2 linked regions of the Coturnix japonica genome follow. The protein of the gene in region 1 binds, or shares a complex with, the protein of each later gene. Links are inferred from orthologs where the notes say so. Each region holds a gene or a part of one and is shown on either strand. Other genes may lie near its edges. The genes, in order: PLEKHM2 and ARL8B.

Region 1 (3,813 bases):
GCTCCACCGTGCCCAGCGAGCGGAAGAAGCTGGTCTGGCAATCCTCATGGCAGGTGAAGGCCTTGTTGTCTGTCAGCACCAGGCAGCACGGGACACACGGCGTGGGGGCTACACCCTGAGGGATGACCTGCATGGAGCGGGTGGGGAAGGGGAGATGGATCCTGGAATGAAGGAGCCCCACCTCCATGGGTGCCACAGGCTTCTGGTGAAGGGAACTGCCCTAAAACATCACTTCCTATCCCTCTCTTTGGGAAACATCATGGAAGGGACCGTGGAGGTTGGAACCAAAGGGGCTCAGGAGGGATCCGTTCACCCTTTGCAGCTCACCCCTTTGGAGACAGCCTGGCAGAAGTACTGCATCCAGTCGGCCATGTCCTCCTCGTTGTCAGCACTCAGCTCCAGGGAGGGCCGGTCTGTCAGGATCACCTGGAAGGAGTGGGGCCGGTCGGTGGTGTTGGAGCGCCGGCATCCCCCGCACTGCTCACCGCTGGGAGAGAGGAGGGAGATCAGGATGGACCGGCAGCACCGCCCCGACGACAACAAGCCCTGCCCCCACCCGCCCTCACTGTGCCTTCATCACTCTGCCCCGTGTTCCCAGCTGGGATGACATCCTTACCCCATGTTGATGGAGAGCAGAGGTGTGACATCCGTGCGGTCGGGGTACTGGTACAAGATCCCATTGCTGCCATTTGGAAAGAGGAGATGGTCAGTGGAGCCAGCTCAGCTCTGCCAGCCACACAAACACACCCTGGCTTTGCTCACACTCCTGCCCAGCCCTGTGCATGCAGCCCTGGGGGGTTGTGCTGCTGCTGGCAGCCACAACAGGGGCTTTATCTCAGCCTCCCACGTGGTGATGGGCCCCCTCATCTCCCAGACAGCAGCACAATAAAACCGATCAGAGATCTTCTCCCAGACCCACCTGAGCACCACGAAGCAGGTCTTCCACTGCTCCTTGCCCAGGTACGAGGTGCCCGCCTTGTAGTGCAGAATGCCATCCTTGGTGACTGCGTTCTCAGCAGAACTGTAGCTACTGGGAGAAGGTCCCAGCGCCTCATCCATGGGGTCCTCCCAGTGTACGAGGCCATAGAAACGCACCACCACATCACAGGCCTGTGGGATGGGCAGAGATGTGAACAGGACGGTGTCCGGTGTGATGCTCCGTCACACGCAGCCATGGCAGCCATGTCAGAACTCACCTCACACTTGGACTCCTGAGCCACAAATTTTGCAAGTGCCAGTTTCTCCATGGTGGCATCTGTGAGGACACTGGGGTACGGGGGCTCCCGGCACCCCTTAATCATGGCTGACTTCAAGGAGACCAAGAAGAACCTGAGAGGGAGACGCAGCTACGGTGGCAGCCCTTTGTCAGCTTCACCTGCCCTGACATCCAAGGGTCCCTCCACTGACCAAAGGACTTTTGATAACACGGAGTGCTGACGGTGCCCACTTACTCTGTGAGAGCCACGTCTGCAGTGTCGAGCAGGAACTGCTTCCTCCGATTGGTGCACACCAGCGTCACCGTCTGCTGATCCAGCCCAACCTGTGTCACACATGACTGGGTAAGGAAGCAAGACAGAGGACAAAGGGTGGTGGAGCAGGGCTGAGCCTGGCATCCTGACTCCCGGGGAGGTCAGCAGACGCTCTGCTGCCCATGCAGAGACAGCAAGCCAAGCACCACTAGAGGTGGCACTGGAGAGCAATGCTTCTAACTCTCTCTGTCTCAAAGATTCACAGTCCAAAATGCCCCTCGTGGACAAAGAGCCCCACAGAAACATCCCACTGTGCTGCTGCTGCCATCCCTGCAGCCAAAGAGGTGAAGATAACCTCCAAGCTGCCTCCTGCCCCCTCCCGAGACAGCACTCACCGAAATGTAGTCGAGCTCATTATAGGAAACGGCCTCTTCCACCATGTACGGCTTCTCTGCTGCCCCTGGCACAGAGACAAAGAGCTGCATGAAGGGGGGCAAAGGAACCTGTCACTGCCCGGAACCAGCAAGAGAAGCCAAGTTCCAGGAGCAAAGAGCTACAGGGCACAGGTCCTAAGGCTCCTAAAGGGGCATATCAACCTGATCTCACTGCTGCTGTTGCCACTGCTCTTGGAAGCATGAAGGAACTGGCAAACACTGATGAGCTACGATGCCCTAATCACTATGCCCCAGTCACTGAGCAAGCCATGGATCAAGCCATCACCTCCCCCAGCTCCCAGACCTCCAACAGGCTGTCCTGACTAAACTGAGAGTTGTAGCAGGAGCTGTTGGGGTACCTTTCCGGATCAGGTACACGTAGCAATCTGTCAGCAGGACATAGACCAGCTGCAGGTTCCCCTCCATGTGCCCGGTGCTCATCCGGATCATCTGTGTGGAAGGAGGAGAGCTCTCAGCCCATGGCCAACGCAGACAGAGGTGGCCTCTTTGCAGACTGATTTGTGTGCCCAGCCTATGACTGTCTTACCCTGAACAACTGTTCCTCGTTCTCCCGAAATACGTGGATCATCAGCAGGAGCAGATGGTTGTTGTCCACCCTGCAAGGACAGACAGAAGAGGCTGAAGGATGGACAAAGACATGGGGCTGCCCAGTCACCTTCCTGAGTGAGTCTGTGTGTGATTAGGGCACCTGCTGGCCCACAAGACCTTCTTGTGAATCCCTAAGCATCACTTTCATCCTGGAGAAGGATGGGCTTTGCCCCACAAATGGAGGACAAATGGAAAAGTATCAGCTTGAGTACCAGCAGCTCTTTACTTTTGGAAGACACACTCTGTGCTCACATAAACTCTGTATGCTGAGCTGAGCAGACCCAGCCTCACCTGAACTCTGAGGGGTGGGTGAGCTCAGAAGGGCTGCCCTGACCTTCCTCCACACCAGAATCCTCAGCGCTGCTCAAGGAAGGGCTGGGCTGCTCCTTCTTTGTCTCACCAACAGCCTCAGGATTGATGTTCTCCATCTGGGCAGTCTGAGGTTCACTGCTCACTCCTTCAGACTCTTCTACTGCCCCAACTGCTTCTCCCTCTCTGCTTTCTTCTTCTTCTTTAGAAGCCTCAGGGCTACCAGAAACATGTGTCTGTTGGCCAGGCCCTGGAGCGTCATGGTGGCCACCACCTGGTGCAGCAGCATTTGGACTCTCGACGGTAAAGCGGTAGAAGTCCATGGGGGCTGAAATCCCGTCGCTAAAGTCGCCAGAGGACGATCCATCTGGGCTCTCCCCTGGCGTGCCGGTCCGAAAGGACTGCCTGGGCGGCTCGAGGGGTGCGCTCCAACCACCAGGGTCCAGCTGCCCATTCAGCCTGTCCATCACCTTGCTCAGCGGCTGCCCCACGCTCTCCATGGACGTGTCCTTCATTTCGGGGATGTGCAAAGCCAGCTGGCTGAGGGCAGAGCGCTCGTGTCCCTCCTCCTGCCCGCCCGGGCTCGGCTCCCCAGCTGGGGCAGTGGGATCATCGTCCCTCTGTATGTCTCCTCTGTCACTCAGCCCGTTCACATCGCTGTCTCCACTGCTCTGATGTGTGCTGGTCTCAGGCGCCGCGGGCACAGCTGTGTTCACTGGCTCCTCTGGCTTTGCTTTCTTCTTCTTGCCTGTTTTCTTCTTCTTGGCTAACCTGCATGGTGAGAGGCCGTTATGAACATCACTTATCTTTGCCTGCCCAGACTTCTGCAATGCAAAGGGAGGGGGTTGGGGTCCCACCCTTTCCTAACAACTTTCCCCTGTAATTTTCCCTATAAGAGGAAGCACGGTGCTTCTCTTCCCACACTGCTGGAGAGCAGAGTGCAACGTGACCCATCTCAGAGTCGTCTCCTCTGCATCTCCCAGGAAAAACAG
Region 2 (3,684 bases), on another chromosome or scaffold:
ATATGGAGGTGGAGCACACAGAAGTCATTTAATTTGTTACCATTACTGGAAAGATGTCGGCACACCATCCTCCAGGTTCATCAGCCATCTAAGAGAAATTAATGGATCAGTGCTGGAGATCAAGAGTCAGCACAGATTCAAATATGGACAAAAAAAAAGGCATTTTGTTGGAAACCGCAGTCAATGAAAGCCTCACCTTCCAGTGAGATACAAAACGTGACACTTTAATTGGTAATAAACAATCAGACACTGCTAGATCTGATACTTGTGCTAGAAAAGCCACAACTAGTTCAGAGAACAAGAAACAAGATTTTAGATATGAGTATTTTTTATCTCTAAAAACACAACTCCAGGAGGCTGACCTGCTTACGACCCTTCAGCTGATCAGCAAGTCCTTTTCACAAGGCAAAAAAGCACTGAGGACGGCCGAGATCAACTCTAGTTAAGCCTGTTTATGTAAGCTGAGAAAGCCTCGGGCCTGAAAGATAGTTCTGTAAGCATTTCACTTTAGTAGTGCAACCACAGAAGATGAGGAAGCTCAGGTATTTCTACTGCACCTCTTTGCCCATTTAATTTTAATCAGAGAGCAAACAAGCCCGCAGTGCCATGAGTTAAACGCATCAACTCCAGTCAGTCGGTTAAGCGTCAATACAACCCTCAAAACAGAAGTTTATTGAATTAAGCTGAAGAGCAGTAAACCAACATATGCATCCACCTAAATAAAAAAATCCACGTATTTACAAAGTTCAGTAATTGTATAAGTTGTTCACATGCAGAGAGTAATGCACAGGTTAACAGTTGGTAGTGTTTGGATGCCATAAATACTGAAAGCAGTGAAGTATATAAACACCAAACACATCAAGTTTACCTATAGGCCAGTTAGCTAAACAGTGACCTGGTCCCCCACAAAGATTCACACATTCTAGTTTAGTTTCCATATTTTAGGCACAAGCAAGTTTGATAGATAAAGGTAACTGTAGCAGTTCACAGTGAACTAAGGACTACAGTAGCAAGTTAATATACCCTCTCCTCTACAGCACCAGATGATGAATTAACTGAAATCACACTTCAGAGAACCGAAAGGGGACAAGAAGTTAAATGCAAGTTCAGACCAAACGCAGGCAGCACGTAGTGTCTGTGCAACAGCTGGTATGGAACAGTAAGGCCATGGTAGTCTAAAGTAAAACTGATTTTTCATTATTGATACGGACAAAACAGCGTCTTCAACCAAAGACTCTAAAGTAACGCAAACTCCACATTCAGGTAAGGAAGAATCACACACAGTGTGAGGCAATGCAAGCAGGTGTACCATGTATTTGTATACACTAGCAAGCTACACTGACATTACTGTATGAACAAACCAGTCTTAACGAGTCTGTCCCTTTAAATATATTGAAGTCATTGAGAAAGTAAAGCTACAAAAACATTACAATCTTCAGTTTGTATATACTTCCCTACACTGTAGAAGCTAGTCAAGAAATAGGATCGATTCGTTGGCTCTCTTGTGCTTTGACACAGTTGAACATTTCACCTTGCCACTTACAGACTTTGCACATGGTTACATCAAGAAAGCAGGCAGCTCTAGAGTTGTCACAATAGCTGAGATGTTTCATAGCACCAGGTGAAACTGTGCCCAGCTATTTCATGAGCAGGAGACACCGGACAATTACATAGATATTGTGCTAAAGGTCAACAACTGACTCTATACAAAAACATCAGTAATTTAAGTGTCATGCAGCCGCTCAGAACGTGTGTTCTGCTTTCGGATAGAGATCACTAGAATCAGAAGACAGAAAAGTGTGTTTGAACCAAGCAATTTGTTGTCATGCTGGAATACTCCGGTTTTTGAAAGCTTGACAGAACAGTCCATTCCCATTCCCCAGACAAATGTTAAACATAAGCAACAAAATGAATTTAAGCAGTTGACTCTCCTAATTCATCATAAGTTTTTCTTTTTCCTTTTAAGTGATAGGATAAGATCCCAGCTGTAGATTAGTGATGCTGAGCTATGTCTTTTGCTCCCCTCTGCAAACAGGATCCATTTCTCTGCTAACATACACACATCACATGCATTTGTGAGATAAACTATCCCACAACTCACGTTTAAATGTTTTCTAACTACTGTATGTGGCATCTTACAGAATCTTAATGCTGTCAAGCATCAGCATCTTCAAGCCACTAAACACTAGAAATAAAACACTTGCTGAAAATCATATAAAAACCTGGCCCTGAAAAACCAGAACAGAGTGTACCATCATAGTTAACATGGTAGATTTTTTTTTCTTAAAAAGCCCCCCCACAACCCTCCCACCATAGATGGTTGTAAAATAAATATTTGTGCTGACTTTATGACAACTCTAGTTGTTTTGTGACATAATAGGAATACAAGTCTTCAGCAGTGCACATGAGAAATGAACTGTGAAAAGGCAGATTCTTGATACAGGATTTTTGGGTTATATCTCATTATGGAGGGAAGTGGACAATTGAGATTATGGCCAACTGGTACTGGAGATTCCAGGAAGACTTCAGCTTCTTCTAGACTTTGAATGCTGAATAAGCCACTGAAGCGTGATATCTGAAGAGAGAAAAAGTGTTCCATATTCAAGTGATTTGTATTTGCATAACCAGCATCACCTTGGTATGCCCAGAGCCCCTAATACAGAGGCAGCCCTTCTCTAGAGATGGTCCAAGGCAGATTAACAAAACTGAAAGTCTGCTGTTTATGTTCTAGTCCAGTAAAAGCCCAGAGCCTTGCAAGCAACATTTGGAGGCGCTGCAGAGATTTGGGTTCCTCAGTCAACCACAACCCTAAGAAAGACTTCAAGTGATATCTTTGTCTTGCTGACATAATTACATTCAGATAAACATCGCCATTATTCAAGCCAGTCTGACAGCCCTTGCTGCCTCTTCTAACCTGATGGTAACAAAGTTAATTTAGCCCTACAGTCCAAAGCATAAAGCTCTTCTTATGCATGCAGTTTTAGGTTAATAGTTACCTATATTATCTTTTTCTTTGCAAGAAATTGAGTAGCAGCAGATTTCTCTGTCCTGAATAGCAGCAAGGTTCCTACAAAAGAGATAAAGTTAAAACACACACTTCCGTTTTATCAAGCATTCTACATTGAAAATCTCTTTCCACTCCATCATGGAACTTGTTTCTGTACAACGTTTCAGCTACTTGTTACTGTGCTTTCCACTTATAAACAGAAAGCTTCTTCAACTAACACCCTTACCTACATGAATTCATTTATGAGTAATCTCTTCAGAAGGGTTAGACTTACATCTTCTCGATTAGCTGTTTCTCATCCAAAGCATTAGGAAGGTCTCTCTTGTTTCCAAGTACTAGAACCTGAAATTCAAAGCAGAAACAATTTCAGCTTTGTTTCTGTTGTTTTGTTTATTTTAGGAAAGCAACAAGCAGTCTACACCAGACTATTAAATCCAGTGGAATAAGATACGCAGTAGTAAGCCAAGCTGAGAAGAAAGACTGACCCAGTTACAGGGAAAAAAGCCCAAAACCTCTTTTGTACAAAAGCAAGTACAAGATCAGCTGATAATAGTGAGAACAAACCCAGTGAACTTTCAACTGTGACCTCCCAAACTTACTCTGGTTAACATGTACCATAGCCCGCCTCAAAAGAGCACAAATTCATATGGCAGAATAGATTATTCTTCCACGTTTTT

The links.
Region 2: the proteins of PLEKHM2 (region 1) and ARL8B are in contact, whole or in part, in a crystal structure (PDB 8JCA), measured with the Homo sapiens proteins. The link is inferred for Coturnix japonica from reciprocal best matches to the Homo sapiens genes PLEKHM2 and ARL8B. Residues at the interface, in NP_055979.2 of Homo sapiens: His70, Phe71, Thr72, Arg73, Arg74, Glu75, Glu103, Ser105, Glu107, Ser108, Tyr109, Arg111, Leu112, Glu115, Glu147, Phe148; in NP_060654.1 of Homo sapiens: Glu22, Thr52, Val53, Gly54, Phe55, Asn56, Met57, Lys68, Trp70, Arg77, Phe78, Arg84, Tyr85, Arg87, Gly88, Val89.

What each region holds. Positions count from the first base shown.
Region 1 is NC_029536.1:3,639,405-3,643,217, reverse strand, and holds part of PLEKHM2 (pleckstrin homology domain-containing family M member 2), read right to left. Parts: intron 3,593-3,813; coding exon 2,804-3,592; intron 2,521-2,803; coding exon 2,451-2,520; intron 2,354-2,450; coding exon 2,263-2,353; intron 1,930-2,262; coding exon 1,865-1,929; intron 1,541-1,864; coding exon 1,452-1,540; intron 1,330-1,451; coding exon 1,197-1,329; intron 1,111-1,196; coding exon 920-1,110; intron 683-919; coding exon 617-682; intron 488-616; coding exon 328-487; intron 128-327; coding exon 1-127. UniProt on the Homo sapiens protein: Plays a role in lysosomes movement and localization at the cell periphery acting as an effector of ARL8B.
Region 2 is NC_029527.1:15,966,370-15,970,053, reverse strand, and holds the end of ARL8B (ADP-ribosylation factor-like protein 8B), read right to left. Parts: intron 3,350-3,684; coding exon 3,282-3,349; intron 3,068-3,281; coding exon 2,997-3,067; intron 2,576-2,996; coding exon 2,526-2,575; 3' UTR 635-2,525; downstream 1-634. UniProt on the Homo sapiens protein: Small GTPase which cycles between active GTP-bound and inactive GDP-bound states.